6 linked regions of the Ovis aries genome follow. The protein of the gene in region 3 interacts with the protein of the main gene of each other region in a pairwise test. Links are inferred from orthologs where the notes say so. Each region holds a gene or a part of one and is shown on either strand. Other genes may lie near its edges. The genes, in order: SHMT1, WDR62, MAPK9, EFHC2, ARRB1 and LNX2.

Evidence for each region.
Region 1: the proteins of MAPK9 (region 3) and SHMT1 interact in binary tests that used the Homo sapiens proteins (3 or more experiments, as listed by UniProt). The two-hybrid records come from large-scale screens. The link is inferred for Ovis aries from reciprocal best matches to the Homo sapiens genes MAPK9 and SHMT1.
Region 2: the proteins of MAPK9 (region 3) and WDR62 interact in binary tests that used the Homo sapiens proteins (3 or more experiments, as listed by UniProt). The two-hybrid records come from large-scale screens. The link is inferred for Ovis aries from reciprocal best matches to the Homo sapiens genes MAPK9 and WDR62.
Region 4: the proteins of MAPK9 (region 3) and EFHC2 interact in binary tests that used the Homo sapiens proteins (3 or more experiments, as listed by UniProt). The two-hybrid records come from large-scale screens. The link is inferred for Ovis aries from reciprocal best matches to the Homo sapiens genes MAPK9 and EFHC2.
Region 5: the proteins of MAPK9 (region 3) and ARRB1 interact in binary tests that used the Homo sapiens proteins (3 or more experiments, as listed by UniProt). The link is inferred for Ovis aries from reciprocal best matches to the Homo sapiens genes MAPK9 and ARRB1.
Region 6: the proteins of MAPK9 (region 3) and LNX2 interact in binary tests that used the Homo sapiens proteins (3 or more experiments, as listed by UniProt). The link is inferred for Ovis aries from reciprocal best matches to the Homo sapiens genes MAPK9 and LNX2.

The regions. Positions count from the first base shown.
Region 1 is NC_056064.1:34,088,876-34,093,045, forward strand, and holds the start of SHMT1 (serine hydroxymethyltransferase, cytosolic), read left to right. Parts: upstream 1-1,370; 5' UTR 1,371-1,390; coding exon 1,391-1,486; intron 1,487-2,374; coding exon 2,375-2,520; intron 2,521-4,011; coding exon 4,012-4,127; intron 4,128-4,170. UniProt on the Homo sapiens protein: Interconversion of serine and glycine.
Region 2 is NC_056067.1:46,067,124-46,069,734, reverse strand, and holds part of WDR62 (WD repeat-containing protein 62), read right to left. Parts: intron 2,281-2,611; coding exon 2,153-2,280; intron 1,856-2,152; coding exon 1,752-1,855; intron 1,396-1,751; coding exon 1,288-1,395; intron 1,017-1,287; coding exon 882-1,016; intron 498-881; coding exon 383-497; intron 287-382; coding exon 160-286; intron 78-159; coding exon 26-77; intron 1-25. UniProt on the Homo sapiens protein: Required for cerebral cortical development. Plays a role in neuronal proliferation and migration.
Region 3 is NC_056058.1:713,789-717,756, forward strand, and holds the start of MAPK9 (mitogen-activated protein kinase 9), read left to right. Parts: upstream 1-1,168; 5' UTR 1,169-1,412; intron 1,413-3,968. UniProt on the Homo sapiens protein: Serine/threonine-protein kinase involved in various processes such as cell proliferation, differentiation, migration, transformation and programmed cell death.
Region 4 is NC_056080.1:43,527,397-43,531,545, reverse strand, and holds the start of EFHC2 (EF-hand domain-containing family member C2), read left to right. Parts: upstream 1-1,349; 5' UTR 1,350-1,457; coding exon 1,458-1,499; intron 1,500-4,149. UniProt on the Homo sapiens protein: Microtubule inner protein (MIP) part of the dynein-decorated doublet microtubules (DMTs) in cilia axoneme, which is required for motile cilia beating.
Region 5 is NC_056068.1:53,257,881-53,261,828, reverse strand, and holds the start of ARRB1 (beta-arrestin-1), read left to right. Parts: upstream 1-1,148; 5' UTR 1,149-3,948. UniProt on the Homo sapiens protein: Functions in regulating agonist-mediated G-protein coupled receptor (GPCR) signaling by mediating both receptor desensitization and resensitization processes.
Region 6 is NC_056063.1:32,686,254-32,689,753, forward strand, and holds part of LNX2 (ligand of Numb protein X 2), read left to right. Parts: intron 1-984; coding exon 985-1,143; intron 1,144-2,841; coding exon 2,842-2,977; 3' UTR 2,978-3,500.

The sequences.
Region 1 (4,170 bases), on a different chromosome or scaffold from region 3:
TCACCAGTTCATTAAAGGATATGACAAAGGACACAGATAAGCAGCCAGAGGAAGAGAGAGATGTTCAGGGCGATGGCTGGGAGGGTCACCGTGGAGTTGGGGTGCACCACCCGGAAGCTCCCTGAACCCTGTGAGGGGGTCATTAACTCCAGCCCCTTTCCCTCTCTGGTAGAGTTGAGGGGGCTGGAAATGCTTCTCATCATGGCCTGGTCTTTCTGGGACCAGCCCCAACTTGGTAGCCTCCCACCCTGAGTTGCATCATTGGAACAAGAGATGCTCCTGTCACTGGGAAGTCGCAGGGACCTGTGTGTGTGTATAACTATTTATATTCTCATGGTGCTCTCAGGAGACTGCAGGTGGGCCCCTTCTCAGCCTGGTGTCCTCTGGTCGCCCCCAGCACTTGTCCTTGTGGGCCCGCTTATCTGTCTGCATTCAGTGTGCTCACTGCTTCCTGCTCACCTTCCCCCAGGAAGCCCCATGAAGGTTCGGTCTGTTTGGGTCTCACTGTGTTCCCAGTCCCGACCTGTGGCTGCTGCTGAGGGGAAGGGCCTCAATAAGTAACTGTTAAGGGAATGAATTTGAAACAAAAGCTTATCTAATTAGTAGAAAGTACTGAAAGTTGCCAACCATCGATTAAAGGAGGTCAGTTCCTGTAAACATTTATGCTGTCCCTTTAGCTGAAATACCACTGAGCTCAGACTCTTGTTCTTTGTGGGGATGTATGTGAAGACACAAGCCTGCTGTATTGTGATGATGCCGAGTCCAGGTGTGTACCTCTGCCTGTGGACCTGACCAGAGGCCCAGGGTCAACCCAGAGCGTGTCCTGCAGCCCCAGCCGCGGAACACCAGGTGGAGCCTCTGCGGGGTTTGAGACTCTCCTCCAAGGCCAGTGGGCTGTGCGGCCCTCCACTAAGATACTTTTCTGAGTCTCCTTTTCATTACTTGAGAAATAGAAAAAGTAGTACATAAGTCAGCAATTCACTTGTTCATTTGGTAAATATTACTCTCATATGGCTGCGCTGGGTACTGTGGGAAATTTTTTACAAAGTAACCATCAGCCCTTGCCTTCAGGAAGCTGGCTTAGTTGGGGAGCTAAGCCACAACCAGGAGAAGTTCAGGTAGGAAGAGGGGGTGCTGGGCTCCCCGAGGCTGGAGCAGCCTCGAGGCAAGGAGGGCAGGTCTCCTGAGGAGCCAGTGACCTGCAGGGATCCACAGGTGGTCCCATGTGGTGGATCTGCAGCAGAGTTCTCATGTTCTCCAGGCGCTTCTGGGACAAGGCCCACACGTGTGTCAGTACTTCAGCAACTTGGGAACTGACAGGTGACGATGAGCTGTGACTGAGTTTAATATTTGAAGCTTTTCCATTTTTAGGTGCCTCTGAACCAGCACAATGGCAGCTCCAGTCAACAAGGCACCCAGAGATGCCGATTTGTGGTCCTTGCATGAGAAGATGCTGGCACAGCCCCTGAAGGACAACGATGTCGAGGTGAGGCTGTGGGTGTTCTTGCAAGTTTTGCTGTTGGAGGTCCTTGTTCAGGCCTCTGATTCTCACCAGAAATGAGCTGTGTTTGGGACAGCCTTGTGGTTTGGATACAGGACTGGTTTATAGGCAGTGGCTGCAAAGTGGCTGCAAGTCCTTTGAGGGTGCATTTAAATCTGAGTTTCTGTGAAGAGCAGTGTGCTGGCTGCTGCTGAGGAAAGGGGAAGGGGTGGGGTCACTGAGACTTGACCCTCTTCTTACAGTTCAGGGGAGCATTTCTAGAAGCATCTTTTATTTATGTATTTTTACAATAGCTTTACATGTGAGATAAGTGAATGCACTTAACATACAAGTTGCCCATTTAGAGTACACAATTCAGTGGTTTTTAGTGTATTCATGATTGCTTTTAGAACATTTTAATCCCCCCAAAAGAGACCTCAAACCCATCAGCAATTGCCCCCCTCCATCCCCCAGATTCCCAACCCTCAGCAACCACTGGTCTGTTTTCTGTCTCTGTGGATTCATCTAGGTATCTGTTATTTTAAGGAAAGGAATAAAGAACAAAGTTCAGGAGGGAAACTTGGTGAAATCTAGGGATGAAAATAACAAGATGGCACAGAATTTTAAAATTCCGTGGGATGCGTGTTTTAAGGATCATCTTTTCTTCCATCGTTTTGTTCTCCTTAATTCACTTTCTATTAATTCCTTCCTAAAAGCTTTGAGGAGTATTTCCTTTGTTCCTCAGGTGCTGTGGGGGTCATCTTATTCTGGTTACACTTGGCTTCTGAGGGCAAAATATGAAAGGATAAGTGTCTCTTCTCTTTGCTCAGTTATTGCTCAGATCAGAGCAGATGTTAAACTGCAGTGTCCCCATTCCTGTTTTCTTCTTGTCAGGTTTACAACATCATTAAGAAGGAGAGTAACCGGCAGAGGGTTGGACTGGAGCTGATCGCCTCCGAGAACTTTGCCAGCCGGGCTGTTCTGGAGGCCCTAGGCTCTTGCCTGAACAACAAGTACTCTGAGGGGTACCCAGGCCAGAGGTATGTGAGTGTCATCCAGGCCAGCCTCCCAGGAAGGGAGTGGACATTTCAGAAAACAGCCAGGTTCTCAATGGCAGGGCCTCCTGTCTCCTCCTCTCTTAACGATTCCTAGCGGGTGGTGGCACCACTGTTCTGGGGGCAAGATACTTGGGGTCACTTGCACAGTCCCCCTGGGCCTTTCTAGAATAACAACCAGGCCCGAAGGAGCAGCTGCTGGCTGCAGCTGAGCCTCCAGAGGAAGGTTGTGTGAGTAGGGACCCCAAGATGAGACTGACCCACCACACTGGAAACTGGGTCAGTGTTTTAAAACTGGGTTTACCTACAAGAGATTTCAGTCAGCTTCTCCTCTTGAGAAACAGGAGAAGTCATATTCATTTGTGTTTCTTACAGTTGTCATCAGGCAGAGATGGTGATGACAGAATTTAACACGTGGTTTTTGCAAAATTGCACACTTGTGTCCCAGAGGACACGGAAAAGGGAGGGTCACCTGCCGTTCTACACTGATTAGAGGGTCATAATTTTTGGACCCCCACACCCATCCCCCTGGAAGGGGGTTGTAGGATCACATGCCCTCCTGAACCTTGTCCTGTTCACAAATTGAGTCCTTCACAATAAACCAGGGATCATGAGTGAGGCGCTTTCCTGAGTCTTCAGTTTTTCAAGTGAATTACTGGAACTGAGGGGGTCATTTGTAGCCAACTGGGGCAGCAATGCTGGTAGCCCAGTGACCAGGGACTTGCCTTTGGCATCTGAAGTGAGGGGCAGTCTTGTGGGTCTGAGCCCTCAGCATGTCGGTCTGCACTGACTCTGGGTGGTCAGTATGGGAACCAGGTGGAATTGTGAGACACCCAGCTTGTGTTCAAACCCCAGGCTGCCTGGGGTCCCAGTGTTTCCAGTTGACCTTGGAGGAGATACTTTGGTGCCTCTGCCCAGAGATGTGGTGCTGCAGTCTTGCTGCTTCTTGCTGGGACTGAGGGCATGGTGACCATGGCACACCACCCCTGCCCCCAGCTCTGTTCCCACAACAACGGCAGGAGAGAGGGGCACCCATTTTCTGGCAGGTCAAGTCGACTTGAAGAGCATGGCTTCTATCCCAGGCCAAAACTAGTCACAAATAATAAAAAAACATAAGTGCATACATTGTGATATGCAATTATTAAACAAAAGATAAAATTTTATTAGAAATGCAAAGTAAATCCCCCCAAACCAGTAACTCCCTCTCCCAGCCCCTGGAAACCACTGTCCTGCTCCACATGCTATGAATTGATCCCTGGGCAGCTGGCACAGGCCATCACATGGCTGTGACAGTGTCCTCAGGGTTCATCTGAGTTGTGGGGTCAGACCTCCCCACGGATGGCGAGACACGGCCACCTGGGCCTGGTTCAGGGTGCGTGTTCTCACCCTTGCTCCTTCGTCCCACTAGGAGCCTGGCCTCTGTCCTGCATGCAGAAGTGGCGCCAGTGGGCCTATACCTCCCGCCTTCCTCCACAGGTACTATGGTGGGACGGAATTCATCGATGAGCTAGAGGTCCTCTGTCAGAAGCGAGCGCTGCAGGTCTATGGCCTGGACCCCGAGTGCTGGGGGGTTAACGTCCAGCCTTACTCAGGTAATGGCCAGGTCCAGACAGGCCTGGGTGGTCCCCTTCCTGC
Region 2 (2,611 bases), on a different chromosome or scaffold from region 3:
TCCACCGGGAGATGGGGACACTCACACAGTGGGGTCCACACCTCCAGCGTCTCCTCAGCCTTTCCTCCAGGAATAACCTACAAACATAGCCCTGCAGTGAGGACAAGGCCTCCCGGCTCCCAAGCCCCATGTCTCGAGGGAGGTGGCCCCAGTACTCACGTTGGTCCTGACTGGGGAGGTGGAGCCAGCACCCACTCTTGGGGGCTCGCCCTGGAGGTCCGTGAGTCTGACCTCTGAGGACTTCACGAGGTGCCGGGGAAGTCGGGAAGGGAAGGTGTGGGGAAACCTGTTAGGTAAACAGGTGGCAGTGGCTGCCCTCAGGGTGCTCAGGGGCACACAGCCCCGCCCTGCCGGGAGAGTTCACGAATTCACCCGCTCCCACCTGGATGTCTTCTGAAGGCGGGAGAGGAACTGGGCTGAGATGCTCAGTCGGGGGTTGAAGAAGTCATCCTCGGTCTCAGAGGCTTTCAGGTCTCTCAGGGATCCGAGGAAGAGCTCTAGGGCAAGATGCCAAGGGAGCCCTCAGAAACCCTCCAGCCAGCCAGCCCTGGGCCCAGGCAGACCCCACAGACCAGCAGACAGATCCTCAGAGACCCTCAACAACGGATAACATGGGGCTTCCCTGCCGGTCCAGGAAAAGATCCCACATGATGCAACTGAGGCCCGATGCAGTCAAAAATAAAAAGCAGACAACACGCACCTTGGGAGCGAATCGAGCTGGCAGAGGATACCGTGCTGCTCAGTCCCTAACTAAAAAGTAAAATGCACGCCCTCCCACCACTCTCACCAGCCCTGCCAGGGAAAGCCGCACCCTGGGGACGTCCACACTGAGCCCAGTCCTAGGTGCGCCCAGGCAGGTGTCAGAGAGGGGCAGGGCTTACCCTCAGGGTGGGCATCAGTAAGCGTCTCGAAGTGGTGGCGGAGGAACTTCTCTTGCTCAGGGGTCTGGGGCAGGGAGCTGTTGGATATGCCTGGCACCTCGGGCCTGGGCAATTCTCCTGCAGTCCCTGGGCATCCTGGTCAGAGGGCGTGGGCAGGGGAGAAACGTCAACACCATGAGTCATGGAAGACGCCCTGAGAGAGCCACCAGCCGTTTAACGATGGAGGAAGCTGGACTCGCCCATCACACACCCTACGGCCACCAGGTGGAGAAGGCGGGGCTAATGGCTGTCTTCTAGGGGAGGGAATTGGGGGTGCAGGACTGAGGTATGGCCAGTGGTTATATATTACAGCCATCACTCGGCCAGGCCCACGCACCGCCCTTTTCTGCATGTGGCCGCTGCTTACCTGGTATGGGGGGCATTGTGTCAAACTGAGGTTCTGGGTCTGGCTGTGGAGGAGAGGAATGGATGGTGGTGAAGCTGCACTCCAAGTCAGCCTCTGACTCCCCCGAGTCTGGAAGAGAGTGGCTAGGGTCAGGGGCCCAAGGCTGGGCCCTGACTGGGTGAGTCAGGTAAGGAGGCTACAAGTTTCTGGGCTTCAGTTCCTTCATCTGAAGAAGGGGGACTATAGGACCCATGCCCTATTTTACGGACCAGCAAGGCTACACTTCAAGGGAGATGCAGAGCTGGGCTCCCACTGGTGGGCAGCTGGGCTCCAGAAGTCTAGGGTGAAGACAGCAGGGATGATGTCTGTCTCTATGACAGACTCTGAGCTTCAGGAAGACTGGGTCACAGTCGCCATCAGTGCCCAGAAAGGGGTCTGGCCAGATGAAGAGATGACTGCAAGGTGTCCTGCTGGTACTCACTCACCCTCAGGGGGATTCCGGTCCTTCGAGCCGATTGAGGGGACTGGGAGGAAGGGGTTCCCTTGCTGGTCTCCGCACGCCTCCACTACCTCCTCCGCACAGTACTCACTGCATGCCGGGGGTGAGGGATGGATAGGGAGAGGGAAAAATGACACACTGGTTAGTAAACACCTGGCCCCTACCCAGAAGCCCTGGACATCTGCACCTGCTCCTGCTGGGAGCACAGCTTCGCCTCTCTTGCCAGCACCAAAGGCGGCCTCCATGCACCTCCTCTTGGAACCAGGGAAACAGGTTGCAGCCTCAGCCCTCTGCCTCCCTCCCTCAGGCCCACTGGGAGAGCGGAGCGCAGTTCTTCCAGGGTGTGCCTACTAGTCAAGGCTTCCTCTCTCCAACTAAGGAACTCACCTGTCCCTTCCTGTGACTGTCACCTCTGTCTCTGGGGGGCAGGTGATGAGCTCGCTGGCCTCAGAAGACTCTCGCTGTGGGGGTGACAAGGAAGGGTGCCCGCAGCCATCCTCCTGGGGACTCTCGGACTGTGGGTGAAGACAGCGCAGCCTCAGAGGCAGCCATGATCCCCGGGCCCATGTCAGCTGCAAGGCTTGCCACCCACACCGGTGGCGACGGGAAGGATGGCAGGCCTCACTGTCGGATGCTCCCTGTGAGGCAAGACCTGGACGGGGCCGTACTGAGCTTGTACTGAGCTTGCTTTCTGCTGCTCCTCCATTTCATCTGCCCCTTTACAGATAAGGAATAGGTATGGCTCCCCCCCGTAAGAGTCTATTCATATGAAGTTCAAGAACAGGCAAACCAATCCATGGGGACAGAGTTCAGCATGCTGGTTACTTCACTGAGGGTACTGACTAC
Region 3 (3,968 bases):
CTGGTCTGACAACTCTCCCATCATTTCACACCTTCAGACCTGCTGGAACCAGATCCAGAGGCTAGCTGGGGGAGACACCTCTGAAGAAGGTCACTGCCAACAAATCACAGGTCCTAGGGGCCCTCAGCATTGCACTCCCTTCCCTCCATGTATGACTCTGCCATTCTCTTCTGAGAAGACCCAGGAATGAATGCTCCTTTGTAAAACCACAGCTCTGACAGCCAGACCTCCTGAGTTTCCCATAATCCTTGATGGTGGCAATTTTTGTTCAAGTGGCTTGAACTCTGCTCCAGGCTCACCAGCCAGTCTTCTCCCCTCTGTCACTGACCTGCCAGGGCCAGAGGCCTGCACATGGCCATCTCCTCCCATGTCCCTCCTCGGCTTCTGGCTGCTGCTGCTGCTGCTGCTAAGTCGCTTCAGTCGTGTCCGACTCTGTGCGACCCCACAGACGGCAGCCCACCAGGCTCCCCCGTCCCTGGGATTCTCCAGACAAGAACACTGGAGTGGGTTGCCATTTCCTTCTCCAATGCATGAAAGTGAAAAGTGAAAGTGAAGTCGCTCAGTCGAGTCCGACTCTTCGCGACCCCATGGACTGCAGCTTTCCAGGCTCCTCCGTCCATGGGATTTTCCAGGCAAGAGTGATGGAGTGGGTTGCCATTGCTTCTGGCAGCAACCCTGAAACTGCTTCACAGTGAGCAAAGGAATCCAAGGTCCATTCCCCTCGTCTCCACGTCCTCGCCGCCTCCGCCTCCCAGTCCTGGACGCCAAGGCCGCGGCTTCCCCTCGCCCTGGCCCTCCCCTCATGGACCTTCTCCGCCTTCCTCCAGGCCGACTCGCCGCTGTCAGTCTGCACCTGCAAGCCCAGAGGCCCGGCTTTCGGTCCCGTCAGTACCCCTTTCCATCGCCTCCCAGCGCGGTGCTCGGCTGCCGCGCCGCGGGCACCGGTAAAGCGCAGTCGGCGCGCCGAGCCCGGCCTGCGTCATAAGGAAGCGGAGCGATCAGCTGCGCGGCCGCCAAGCGCCGCTCCCCGAAGACCTGGTCAACCAGCGCCGGGCTCGGCCCGCCTCCCCTCCGGAGCCGCCCGGCAGTAGCCCCAGCCCCGCGCGCGCGCGATTGGCCGCGCCCGCCCAGCTCTCCGCGCGCTGATTGGCCGGCGCGCGGGTCGGTCAGACCGGGCGCCGCGGCGGCGGCTGCAGCGGAGGAGAAGCAATCCAGACCGGAAGGGTCCTAGGCGCCCCGGCGCCCCTCACAGCCTTTGCGGCGGCGGCGACGGCGGCGGCGGGGCGGAGCGGAGCAGAGCGGGGCGGGGCGGCCAGGCGAGCCCGGGGCAGCGGAGCCGCGAGCAGCTAGCGCGCTGCGCCGCCAGTCCGCCCGCCTGCCCTCTCCCTCTGGCGCGGCGGCGGGGAGGCGAGGTGAGCCCGGCCGGCGGGTTAGGCCCAGCGGGGACTCTGGGACCGAGCCTCGCCGGGGAGGGGCGGCGGGAAGGCCGCGAGGCCAGGCTCCGCGGGGACAGGGGGGTGCGGAGCGGGAGGACCGGGTTCTGTGGGGTCTGCGGGGTGCTGGCGACCCCGGCCGCAGCCCCTCTTCCTCCAGGCTGCCGCAGTCACCCCCTTACGCCCGGCTGTCCGCGCCCCAGAGCTGCGGGCTCGCTCCCTGCTCTGGCCCCGGCAGACCTGCTGTAGGGTCTGTGGGCGCCCCCTCCCCCGCCCCGATTGTTTGGCACCCAGCTGCATACCTCCTCCCGGATGCTCAGAGCCTGGGATCTGATTCCTGCGACCTTGGCGAAGGCACTGATCCTTGCTGTTCCTCTGTTTTCCCCTCGGCAAAGTGGGGGAAATGTCTACCCTTTTGGACAGGATTGTTGTCAAGCTCTATGAATGTGTGTGAAAGCCCCTGGGCGGGAGCCCGCCCGGTGCACACTTGTGGAAAATGAGCGGGATACTGCTCCTTGCTGGCTTGAGTGTAGCAGAGTCCGCCCAGAGTCCCCCATCCTCATGCTCCCCAAGTGCCTTGTCATTGCATACTCAGTGCCCAGCAGTGCCTGAGCGGGCCCTGACCAGCTCACCCCCAACAAGTCCCCCAACCCGGAGCAGTGGTCTCCTAACCTACCCATCTTACTGGCCTTGAACATTCAGCCCTGTTTACCTCAGGACCTTTGCACTTGTATCCAGTGATTGGAGTTGCCTCCCGGATCTTTGCACAGCTGACTCCTTCTGGTCCTTCTCACATGTTCCAATTTACAGAATCCTTTCCTTGACCTCTCTTTCTCCTCCTTTAGTCTTTCTGTCTCATTACATTAATTTTCTTCCCAGTATCTGGTTTGAAACTATTCTGTTGATTCGCCTGTTTATTTTCTGTCTCTCCCATTAGGATTATAGCTTTCTGAAAACAGGTAGTTGTCTGATTTGTCCACTGCTTTATCCCCAGTGCTTAGAAAGCACACAGTAAGTATTCAGTAATATCAGTTAAGTGAGTAAGTGAGTGAATGAATGACCCTGCCAGCCTGTTGCCTCTGCTTTCTCTGTTTAGTGACTTCTGACTAACTTGTGAAACTTACATGCAGATGATAGGTTGCTTTAGTTTTGTGGAACATTTTAATGTCCTTGACCCTTTTATTTGGTAACTATCAGAACAAGCTGTAATATAAAATCTGACATTTTTATAATGTTTTCGCTCTAACTTCCTTCCTCGCATTCAGGACATATTGACTGAATTCTACATTATCCAGGTCAGCTTTCTGCTCGGCCCTGGGGACACAAAGGCAGTAGCAACAGGGTCCCTTCCTCCAGAGAGCCCAAGAGCCCAGTAGAGAAAGGAGACATGCAGACAGTGCTCGGACAGCTTGCTGTATAGCAGGGCTGTGCTGTGGAAACTTGGAGGAGGCGGTGGTGCTTGGCTGGTGCTGGAGTTGGCTTGAATGGTGATGAGAAACTTGTCAGGTCTAGGGGAAGACAAGACGTGGGGAAGGGCAGGGTGAAGGAAGAACTTCAGCCCAATCAGTTGAGTTCACTCGCTCAATCATGTCGCTGTTTGGGACCCCATGGACTGCAGCACACCAGGCTTCCTTGTCCATCACCAACTCCCAGGGCTTGCTTGAACTCATGTTCATCAAGTCGGTGATGCCATCCAACCATCTCGTCCTCTGTCATCCCCTTCTCCAATATTCAGCCCAATGTTGGGGTCAAAAACCAGCCTGTGGGGCCAGGTGTGAGAGATTAGAGTAGTGGAGACCCTGGAGAACCAGACACCACTTACCCAGCAATTTTTAGAAAGAAGCCAGAACTTGAGATTTGTATCTGCACTCTCTTCATGTTCAATTGTTGGCAGTAGCTTATTTTAAAATGTTTTCAGTGCTGTGAGCCAAGCAAAATGCAGACCTCATTCAGTTTTATTTCAGGATTGTCGGACTCCGGACTTCAAGGCAGGTTGTTTAGGAGGGAAGAGTTGCAGTGAGCTAGAAGGGTAGCCCACGACTAGGGCAGCTCGGCCCTGTTTGTCCAGGAACTCTCTTTTGGCACTGGAGCCCTGCGATAGCAGCTAGGAAGCCTGCTAGCCTCCACTTTCTACACAGGAGGAAGCAGAGGCTCCCAGGGTTTCGGCAGTCTGTTTTGTAGCAAGCAGCTGGAAAGTGAAATTTGAACCCAGGTCTCCCGCAGATCAGCATTCTTTCCTGAGTCCCTTAGCTCTGAGTATTCTCTTTGGCTCTTAGTTTGTTCTGGAAGAATAAAATCCAATCTAGATATCGTTTCCCTTCATTTATCCCTTTTTTTCCCCTTCAAGAGGATCCTACAGGGTTAAAAACAATCCTATTTTGGCATAGTCTGTCGCTGAAGAGCGTTCTTTTCCTGAGTTTCTTGAGGAGAATCCACTCCTGAGAACTTAACTTTTCAGGATGCCACTTTAAATAATTTGTTGACAGATTAAAATGTGTTTATTTGGCCTTCCTAAATAAATGTTAGAAGGTACAC
Region 4 (4,149 bases), on a different chromosome or scaffold from region 3:
GTAATGTATATTTTTAAGGAATAAGAAAAGAGAGAGTTCCTGCCCTGGGAGAATTGGTGGGCATTTGAAGAGGGTCAAGTAAGGGTGATTACATTGCAGTACCACAAAAGCCACCATTAGAACGGGCAGCTAATATCGGGCGAGTGGAGAAGGTGGAGGAACGCTTCCCGGAAATGTCAAAGCCTTCCACACCTCTCTCCCGCCCTGAACCAAGCCCTGAAAGACAAGAAGGGGTTACCCAGGTGAGAGATGGCAAGGAAGGGTGTTTCCAGCAGCTAGTGAAATTTGCAAAATCCCAAAGGGCAGAAACTGTAGAGTTTGGTTTAGAAACTGTCAGTGATTCCTCGGAGCTGGAGTAGAGGAACGGGGCAAAGAAAGGGATGGAGGGCGTTCGTGGGCACCTACTGACATAGGCTCTGACCAGGCTAAGGAATTGGCCTGCCTCGTGACAGCTAGAAGAATAGTGAAGCTGAAGAGTAACAGGTGCACCATGAATTATATAAGAGGATGGCGCTGGAGGCAAGATTAGGTGTTTTGTTTGTTTCTGTTTTAAAAGAAAACCAGACAAGAAATAATAGGGTCTCGACTGAGACAGAGGATGTGGTGGCTGAAAGTTACCCGGAGTGTCCAACCAGTAGAGTAGGACTCGGGGAGGGAGTAGCTGTAGGTGTGGGGAGCGGAGCCGCTGGCTTGGGTATCTTGGGAGCCTGGTGGAGTGACAGAGGCCACTTTTTGTGCCACCTGACTCCGCCCCTGGCCACCATGACTGCACCAGGAACGAGCATCTTACAAAATGTTGCGTTCAAACGGAAGTACAGAGGAAGAACTGAGGATGGTGGTTACCGCTGAATGGATTTTCTCGGTGGTCGTGGTGGGAGGGGGGTGGGAGACACTTGGGGTTTGTGTGGCTTGGGATTCATCTGGAACGTTTTAATTACAAAGTAAAAGCTGATGTAAATGTAACGTGTACTGGTGTTACATTTCTGTGAGCACACGGGTGTCATTTTATTTTCTGCACTCTTCTGTATGAACTCAATTTAATAACCAAATGGCGAGAAACAGAAACGTGCAAGAAACAGAGGAGCTTCAGTGCAGGAAGGGCTTTGAGCCCTATCAAAGGGTTAAAACAGCAAGCGGCGGGGGCGGGGAATGGTGCGGTAGACAGCCTTTGTGTGTGCACAAGGCGTGTGGAGAGAAAAGCCTCGGGGGAGACCGGTCCCCGGCTGAGTGGGTCGGGTGGGCGGGGGGAGGCGCCCGCGCGGAGCTTCCGCCTAGCCCCGCCCCGGCCCCGCCCCGAGCCCCCGGCCCGCGGAAGCCCCTCCTCCTTCCGTGACACCGCCTCCGTCTCTAGGTAACGTGGAGTGGGGGGAGGCAGGGGCTCAAACAAAGCGGCCGAAAGGTGGCCGCTGCCTGCTGGCCTCTTTTCTCGGACCCTTGACCCTCGGACGCTCGAAACCATGGCCCTGCCTCTGCTGCCCGGCAACAGCTTCAACCATAATGTGAGTAGAGAGGGCACCCGAGGTCAGAAGTCCCAGCCAAGTTTGGGGTCCAGGTGTGACCACTACCCCGGCCTCCTAACGCTGCTTCGCCTTCTGTGGATTGGGCGCAGCTTGGGTCTAACTTTGTGGGCTCTTGGACTACCTCCCCTTCCCCCTCTGTCCAGCTGCATCTAGATGCTTTCCCTACATTAGATACAGACGTAGAGTCCTTATAGATGCTAAGACCCTCGAAGGTAGGATTGATGATAGTCACCGATGAGCGTTGAAGGTGTGCTAGGGGCTGTGCTTTAATCACCTTACACGGCATTAGATGCTCCCAACAGCCCTTTTATCAGCTATTTTTAATTCCTATTTTACAGTTGAGGAAACTGAGGCACAGAGCGATGAGTCAGTCACTCACTGGCCAGAGCTACACAGTCTCAGTGGTGAAGCTGGGTTTCCTCCAGGCAACCGGCCTCCACAGCCCAGGAACCTAATCACTCTCCTTAATACCCTTTGTGAAAGAGTTTGTTATTAAAGTGAAGAAACCTGGCACTCTCAAGGCTGGTAGGGGGTGGATAAGGGTTCCACTGGCCTATAAAGTTTGATCCTAAACATTATAGAGAGCAGGATCCAAACTTGTAGTTCTTTCTTCGTTTAGGATTGGGAATGGTTCATTTCAAAACAAGATGAAAGTACCAAACAACACAACATTAAAAACCCTGAGCACGCAATAACTTTTGCCAGCAAATACCATCTTCTTTAATCCAGAACAGAAAAATGATTCAGGTTTTTGTTTGCACTGGTCCCTACTCGTTACTTGGGTTTTCCAGATGTATCTGTAAGAAGGGAAATTGATGGAACCACTCAAGGTATTTGTGTAAACCTCTGGTAAGTTTAGAAAACAGGCTGCAGATTGAAGCATTTGACTTTATGGATGCTGAACAGTGTCTGTATCCAAGTTGTTGGCCCTACGGTACCAGTTTTCTTGTAGCTTCAGGCCAGTGCATTCTGACCCCTGCAGGTTGGCTGGTCAGTTCAGCTTGTTTCTTGACCACTGGTTTGTGCTTTCTTGGCTGATGGATAGAGGCTGGCCTTCCATCCTAATGTTGCCCTTTGGTAAGATTATTGTTGTTTAGTTGTGTCCAATTCTTTGTGACTCCATGGACTGTAGCCCGCCAGACTCCTCTGTCCTTAGGATTTCCCAGGGAAGAATACTGGAGTGGGTTGCCATTTCCTACTTCAGGGGATCTTTCTGACCCAGGGGTCCCACCCACGTCTCTTGTGTCTCCTGCATTGGCAGGTGGATTCTTTACCACTGAGCCACCTGGGAAGCCTGTGGTAAGATTAAGCTAGTCACAAATTAAGTAAAACTCCTGAAAGACAGGGCATGAAAAAGGATTCCAGAAATAAAGAAGCATGCTGTGTAAAAGTAATTCTAATCAAAATTGAATGTAGAGCCCACAGCTTTGGACATAGCAACACTTCAGATCCTCAGCTCTCACATACAGTGATTAAGAGTGGGAAGAACAGTGGTTGGATGAGATATTTTAAAATCTGCAAGGCTGTACTGAGTGTACTTTTGCTTTTTTAAAGTTTTTTTTTATTGTGAAGTATAACACATGTACAGAAAAATGCACTATGAATGCTTATAGAATGGATATCAAGAAGGAAAATATTACCAGGACTCCCAAAACATCAACCTTGACTAGGGTTGCCAGATTTAGCAAGTAAAAATACATGTCCCAAATAGTGCATGGGATCTACTTATATTAAAAGATTCTCTGTTGTTTACCTGAAATTCATATTTAACTGAGCAGCTTGTATTTTACATGGCAACCCTGCCTATGACCCTTTCTGGTCATTACACCTTTTCTATTCTCCGAAGACAACTATTCTCCTGGCTGCTATCACTGTAGTTCATTTTGGCTTGCTTTTGAAATTTGTGTCAGTGGAAATGTCTGGTTTTTATTCTTTTGTGGCTGGCTTTTTTTTTTTTTTTTAAGCTCAGCATTATGTTTGTGAGATTTGTTCATGTGTCTGTCTATAGAGATAGTTTGTATGTTTTCACTGCTCTAGAATATTCTACTGTATGGGTGTTGAAAGTGAAAGTGTTAGTCCCTCAGTCGTGTCCAACTCTTTGCAACCCCAAGGACTGTAACCGGCCAGGCTCTTCTGTCTATGGGATTTCCCAGGCAAGAATACTGGAGTGGGTAGCTATTCCCTTCTCCAGGGGATCTTCCTAACCCAGGAATTGAACCCAGGTCTCCTGCATTGCTGCAAGATTCTTAACCATCTGAGTCACCAGGGAAGCCCTGTATATATACAGGAAGATACTGTATGGGTATGGCATCATTTATATACACAGTTTACTCTTGACAGAGATTAGGTTTGTTTGGGGTTGTTAAAAATAGTTTGCTGTGACTGTTGTTCATGTCTCTGAGTACAATTGCCAGATCAAATGGTATTCTTTTTTTAAAAATCAAGTTCTTTTTTTAAATATAATTTTAAAATTTCTCACACGGCATTCTTGGGTTCACCTTTGATAGATGCTGTCATGGTGCTTCAGTTCAGTTCAGTCACTCAGTCGTGTCCAGCACTTTGTGACCCCCTGGACTGCAGCACGCCAGGCTTCCCTGTCCATTGCCAACTCCTGGAGCCTACTGAAACT
Region 5 (3,948 bases), on a different chromosome or scaffold from region 3:
GAGGTGGTGGTGGTGAGGTGCCTAGCTGAGTTTGTGCCTGAGAAAAGCTGCCTGTGTGGGCTGAGCTGACCTTTCCTGCTCAGAAAGGAAGGTAGGCCGGCAGGGTGCATTGCTTCCCCCTGCAGATTTGGGGAAAGGTGGCTGAGTGGTGGTTGCATCCTGTCCCTTCCAACTTCCAACCTCAGTGCCCCTTTCAGGGAGTGGGGGAAGGAGGAGCTCAGGCGGGAGCTATGAGGAAAGAACATGGGTTTTGGTGTCAGGCCAGGCTTCAGATCCCACCCTTACTGCTTGTTATGTCTGTGACCTTGAGACAATTATGTATAATTTTTATGAACCTCAGTTTTCTCATCTTCAAAATAGGGTTGATAAGGGAATTTCCTCACAGTCCGCTGGTTCGGGCTTGGCACTTTCATTACCAGGGGCCGGGTTTGATCCCTGGTCGGGGAACTAAGATCCTGCAAGAGGCAAGCCATAATGCTTCCCCCACCCTCTGCCCAAATGGAGGTGATAATATCCTCCCCCAACACCCCGGGGTTGCTGTAAGGCCTAAATGAGATAATGTAGGCTAAGCACAGTGCCTGGCACACAGTAGGTACTCAATAAATGCAGATTGTCCCTCTCTTCTGCCCCGTGAACCTCATCATCCTATCTTGCACTCCATCCTTTACCCTTTTGAGAGTGCCCTCAGTTGGGCTGCGAACTCCCCGGGGGCATCTGTTGTGTTTAGTTCATCCACCTTTATGCTCCAGCCCTGGCACAGCACCTTCAATGCACTTTGAATTGGTTGGCAAGAAGCTGCACTGGCCGCAAGAAAAGAGGGCTAAGTTTTAGCTGGAAACTCAGTGCACATCCACTGTGTGCTCCTGCCGAGGCCTACTGTGTGGAATCTGCTCTGCAGAGCTTGAGTGGCTGCTTGTAACTTGCTGGACTCCTCTGCTCTGGAGGCTTTGTCTTCTTTTCTCCCAAGCACTTAGCACTCATGTAATCAAACCAGTCTTTGGTCAGCCTTTAAGATCCATCTCTTCCCACTGGAATACAAGGGGCCACGGGAGCTGTGTCCCCAGGTCCTAGTGCCTGGCACAGGGGACACACATACATTTTTGTTGGCTGTCCTTTTCTTTCCCTTCTCTGAGCTCAGGCTTGGTATCCCTCCCAGCCCAACCCCTTTCCAGCTGGGGCAAGTCTTCCTGCTTCTTTCAGCTTCAATTTCCTCATCTCTAACGTGAGCATAATGGTGGTCCCAGATAATCAAGTGATCAGCTGGGCCTGGAGCAAGGGAAGGACTCCATCACATCAGTTCCTGTTTTTAAAATGATCTCCAAGGGTCCTCCCATTTCTGACCTTCAGTGACCTCACTGCCTCTGGCTGGGAGGAGACTGGGGAGAACATTCCATTCCTCACAGACCCTCTGCACTGGTCTCACAATGGATTTGGAGCTCTGTGCAAACTGTTTATGTTTCCCCAGTAGAGTTTATTACCCAACTGGGCCTTCTGCAATTAATTACTAGCCAAGCAAATAACTTGTCCCTGGGAGGCTGGGCTTGGCATAAACATTTACATCCAGCCAGGGGCCGGCCCAGGGGCTAGGCTCCTTCTTCCAGCCTCAAGAGCAGAGAATGGTTAGAGGATTAGGGTTGGGAGGGCTGGGATGGGGTGAGGGGTGGGGCTAAAGAGAAACAGCTTTCCTTCAGCAGCTTTTCCTGGGCCCCTACCTTAGCCTTTGAGGTGCTGGGCATCTGCCTTCTCTTTTAATCTTCCTCAGGACCCCACAAGTAGAGTCCCTGTTTGCAGATGAAGAAATATGGAAGAAATTGAGGCTCATGGAAATTAAGGAATTTGACCAAGGACACACAGCGTGCAGGAGGGGCAGGATCTGAGGGTTCCCATAGCAGCTGTGTAGAGCAATAGACTAGAGACGAGAGGACAACAGTGGGAAAGCACTGAGGGAATGAATATTCATTTGATCGATTGGTCATTCATTCATCGTGTTTGTGTCGGCCCCTGTTGCGCGTGAAGGGGCCGTGAAGAGGCGGTGGTGACTCTTAGTGACTGGGCTGAGACTGTTGGTCCCCAGTGAATGCTGGAAACTCCCTCAGGATGTCCCATTAACAGACCAGCTTTGGCTGAAGGAGGTTTCTTGGAGGGCTAGGAAGGGGGCGGCCTCTCTGAGTCTCTAGTGGTCATAACCACCTCATCTTATGCCAAGAGATGGCTCCAATGGAAGTAGCCTCTAAGGTCAGCCTCCTTATCCCAACCTGGAATGTGGAATCCCAGAACCTTGGCCCCCTGCCTTTGGGCTGAGAAACCTCAGAAAAGGTTTATCTCCAGGAATAGCAGGGTCCCTTGTTTATGTCTGAGAGGGAAATGGCTGATTGGCAAGGGAAGCCCTCCTTGCTCTCCTGATCCCCCGGCCCTGCCCCATGGAGGGACTGTGAGTTCTGTGTTTTCTAAAGGCCCCTCTTCCAGCCCAGCAGTTCCTGCTCCCCTCCACAGCCCCACCATGCAGCTCTCTGGAGCCTTCTGCCGGGGGCCATCTTCTGTCTTTGCAGAGAGGAGAGCTGAGACCAGGGAGGAAAGGGTACCTGTTTTGGATATAGCGTGCCTGGATCCTGGAACCCCTTGGCTTCAGGTCACGGTGGAGACTAGGGCCCAGGCTGAGCCATCCATTGCATGTTGCCTAATCCTGGCCCAGAGCCTGATGTGTGGTAACCAATGCCCAGGAAACGTGTGACCTGGGGGAGAAGTGACCAGCTGATGGGACACGTAGGAAGGACACTGTGATCTGGGAGGCAGGGGGCTTCAGCCCATGGCACTCTCTCTCCCGGGAATGGACCTTCTGGGAACTGAGGCGAAACAATAGTCCTCACCCTCAGGGCTGTGGTGAGGCTCAAAAGGCAGCGAGTGACTATTCACAGCGGACAAAAAGTGGAAACCAGTGGCCCTAATGATCATCAGTGTATGCGTGGGTAAACAAATTGAGGTCTGTCTATACCACGGAGCATCATTCAGTCGAAAAAAGGAATGAAGTACTGATGCATGCTGCAACATGAACCTTGGAAACATTGTGCTATGTGAAAGAAGCCAGACACAAAGGTCACATATTGTGTGATTTCATTTATATGAAATGTCCAGAATAGATACGTCCATAGACCCAGAAAGCCGACATTGGTGGTTGCTGGGGCCTGGGAGGAGGGGCGGCTGGGAGAAGAAACCACTCGAGAGTGACGGATTTTAGTGTGGAGTGGTGGAAGTGTTTTGGATCTGGAGTAGAGGTGGTAGTTCTGCACAGCGTTGTGACTGCAGTAAATACTGCTAATTGTTGACTTCAAGCTGGTAAATTTTGTTATGTGAATTTCACCTCAATAAATTATTGTTTTAATTGCTAATAATAAAAGCAGCATTGTGAGGAGGAGGCCCTGGAGATGAGATATGGGTGTTCAGGGGTGAGGCTGCCGGAGAAAGGATGGGTGGGGGGGTGCTGTGACGGGAAAGGTGTCCAGTGGGCGGCACTTTGGGAGCCTGATTAGGACCCAAGGTTCCAGAATAAGAATGGTTGGGGGCAAAGATGTGTCCTTGGGCGGGTTATTCAACCCCTCTTTGTTTCAGTCTCCCCTCTGGAAAACGGGAATCATTAAGTTTTTATTATGGCAATCTAAATCTTTTATGATCAGTCCTGAATATTCACTGGAAGGACTGATGCTGAAGCTGAAGCTCCAATACTTTGGCCACTTGATGAGAAGAACTGACTCCTTGGAAAAGACCCTGATGCTGGGAAAGATTGAAGGCAGGAGGAGAAGGGGACGACAGAGGATGAGATAGTTGGATGGCATCACTGACTTGATGGACATGAGTTTGAGCAAGCTCTGAGTTGGTGATGGACAGGGAATCCTGGTGTGCTGCAGTCCATGGGGTCGCAAAGAGTCGGACATGACTGAGCCACTGAACTGA
Region 6 (3,500 bases), on a different chromosome or scaffold from region 3:
ACTCTATACAAAACAGATAATCAATAAAGATCTACTGTATAGCACAGGGAACTGTACTCAATATTCTATAATAACCTATATGGGAAAACACCCTGAAACAGAATGGATACATATAACTGAATCTCTTAGCTGTATACCTAAAACAACGTTATAAATCAGCTGTGGTGGTGTTTGGTCACTAAGTTGTGTCTGTCTCTTTGCGATCCCATGGACTGTATGTAGCCTGCCAGGCTCCTCTGCCTGTGGGATTCTTCAGGCAGGAATACTGGAGTGGATTGCCATTTCCTCCTCCAGGGGATCTTCCCAGCCCAGCAATCGAACTCACGTCTCCTGGACTGGCAGGCAGATTCTTTACTGCTGAGCCACCAGGGAAACTAAATCAACTATACTCCAATATAAAAGAAGAAACACAGGATACTAAAACCTAGTTTAGTATAGGTCAAAGGAATACCTGTCACTAAACAGCCACTGTTCTGTAGACTCCCAGAGATCTCTATTGTATACAAACCAGTATTCAATGACCGTGGGTCAGAGGGCTGTCATTTGGGGCAACAGCTCTGCTTTCCCTGGTGGGGTGGGAGCGGGGGCTCTTCCACTGTGTGTGCTGGCATGTACACACACCTGCTTGTTTGCGTTGTTTTATCTTCTGCAGAAGATTCAGAATAACGAAAATAACCTGTACTGTCCTAAAACATTAGGCCAATGCATGGGACTCCTCTCTACTGGAAGCTTTTTTACACATTAATGACCAGAGATGTAGTAACACCACAAGCGTTCCTTTGTGCAAAGTAACTTCTGTCAGTGTTCTGTTAAGTGCTTCTCATTGAGCTAAGAAACCAGAGCACATGAGCAGCTCTGTTCTGGCATGTTGTATGTTGCTCCCCATCCATAATGGAGGCACGGACCATGGTGTGGAGTTACAACAAAGATGAACAGGCTATAAAAAACCCTCACACTAATTTTTCTTGGTCTCTGTGTTGACAGTGCCCTTCATAGCTGCCATGACATAGTCTTGCGAAGAAGCTACTTGGGAAGCTGGGGCTTTAGTATCGTCGGTGGATACGAAGAGAACCATACCAATCAGCCTTTTTTCATAAAAACTATCGTCCTGGGGACCCCTGCTTATTACGACGGAAGATTAAAGTGAGTCTTATTGTGTTTAATGATGTGATTTGCATTTACTGTGATGGACACAAGGTCAGCTCCCAAGTCCAGCCTGTTGTCCATCCTTGTAAATAAAGTTTTATTGGAACATACCCATGCTCCCTTGTTTACCTATCTCCCCGGGCTGCTTCTGAGATGTGATGGCAGAGCCAAGTGGCCAGTCCCGAGACCAGTGACTCACAGAGCCCAGGCCCTCTGTCTACCTACCATTTGGCCCTTTACAGAGACAGATCTGCCAGGCCTGATCCAGACTGAAGCATCTTGGTACCACAGGTCAGTGCCTCTTGTGAGATTAACAGTAACGCAGAGTCATGTGGACACATCATGACCCAAAGCTTGCCCTGAGCACCTGAGTCCAGTCCTGTCAGTAGGTGACTTTTCTCTACAGCACTTATGTCAACGTAATGCTCAATTCACGCAAGTCCACATGGGAGGGATTTTGTTGCATTTTGTGTTAGATCCCTGGCAGGCAGCGTGGGGCCTTGCATTCGTAGTAAAGGTTTCATCAGTATTGATGGATGATGTGCGTGCCAGGCGTGGTGCTAGGTGCTGGCTATGGGTTACTGCACCTTCTTAGCAGCCTGCGAGGTAGGTGCTGCTGGTGTTCCTATTTTATAAGCAAGACACTGAGGATTCAGGTTAAAAAACTGCCTATAGTCAAATAGCTGGAAGTCGTTGACAGCAGTTAATCTAGGAGTCTTGGCCATTCAGCCCCTGCTGTTGTCACCACTGGGCAAAAAGTACCCTCTCAGCCTCTGTGCCACCTTTCTCAGAGCTCAGGCACCATGAGAAGAAAGAGGCATTCCATCAAGAGATTATACAGACAGAGGAGACGGGTGACTGTAAGTTCTTAGGACCTAGTTTTGGATGCAAGAAACAGTTCTTAAAAAGTAGATGCTGACATCCTAGTCAGAGTGCTGCACAAATCAGGGCATTTACATTTTGCAAACACAGAGCAACAGCTCGGGAATATCGAGGAAAATCCATCAGGGTCAGTGTGCTCCAGATCCCACTGTCACCTGGTAGAGATGAAAAAATCACTTCAGGAGCAAAGAGTGGGAGGCTGGGATGAAATAACCATTCTCTTAGCCAACTGTTCAGCCAGTCTGGGTCTCGTGTAAATTATAGACTAATTAACTTCCACTTCCTAAAAGAAGTTGAACTAGATCACAAGAAAGTAACATATTCATATTCAAAATAAAGACTAAAAATTATAAAAGATAGAAAGGTCTTCAGATTCACCATCCATTTGTGATAATTAAGCTGAAGGACAGTGAGCATCCTTGGCTGAAAGAGGTGTGGGTCTCATTTAGTTGAAGCCTCGAATGGACTGTAAAAAATCAACCATGAAAATAGCAGCCCCCTCCAAATTTATCATGTGGTATTTTTAAAGGAGGCAGCAGATTTATTCTGTTAACTATACATTGCTTAAGCTTCTCTGAAAATTACTCTGCTTTCCTTTGAAATCATCCACCAGTTACAGGAGAGGCTGGCACGGGGGTGTCCCCGGTTGACAAGGGAAAGCCAACATAGGCTTAAAAAATCACCCAGATATTTCTCAAAGAAAGTCACATAGCCTGATCATCAACAGTTAATGGGTAAGTGTACCAAACAAATCTCAGGACAACATTTCTGATACCGTGAAAACGGTGACTGTTTCTGTCTCTCGTTGTCCAGATGTGGAGACATGATCGTGGCTGTGAACGGCCTGTCGACCGTGGGCATGAGCCACTCGGCGCTGGTCCCCATGCTGAAGGAGCAGAGAAACAAAGTCACGCTGACCGTCATCTGTTGGCCTGGCAGCCTCGTGTAGATTTTGAATTTGATGTTAAGTCGAACAGCTTCCCTATTTTTTTAGGTCTTGGGAAGAAACCCCTTTGGTTTTGTCAAGTTTCTGTTAGGGCCTGCTGACGCAGCTGGGACACACAGGGCCAAACCCACCAGGCTTGTCCTTTTGTTATTAATATTTAAATGCCTCCTCCCCCTCAGTTTGTCACATTTCTCTCAGCTCAGAACGCGTCTTCCCCTAACCCTCGTGGGGTCACATTTTCAGAATCCAGGTTCTCAGTTGTCAGAATGTGAGCTGTAATAAAGAATGAAGTCTGCCCAAACTGTGAGCCAGCAGGCTGCATCAGGCGGCTTACAGTAGCTCTGTTTTAAGTAACTGAGTCATAAAATGAGTTCCATGTGCCCGAGACGGGCCAAGTGGGCTGTCACTTGGGTGGCCAGTGCCGTGAGTGGCCGCCTGCTCAGTGTGGAGAAGCTGCTCCCCATTTTCATCTGTGCCAACATTTCAAACAATACTGTTTAAAAGGTCATTTTTCTGGCTTATTTTG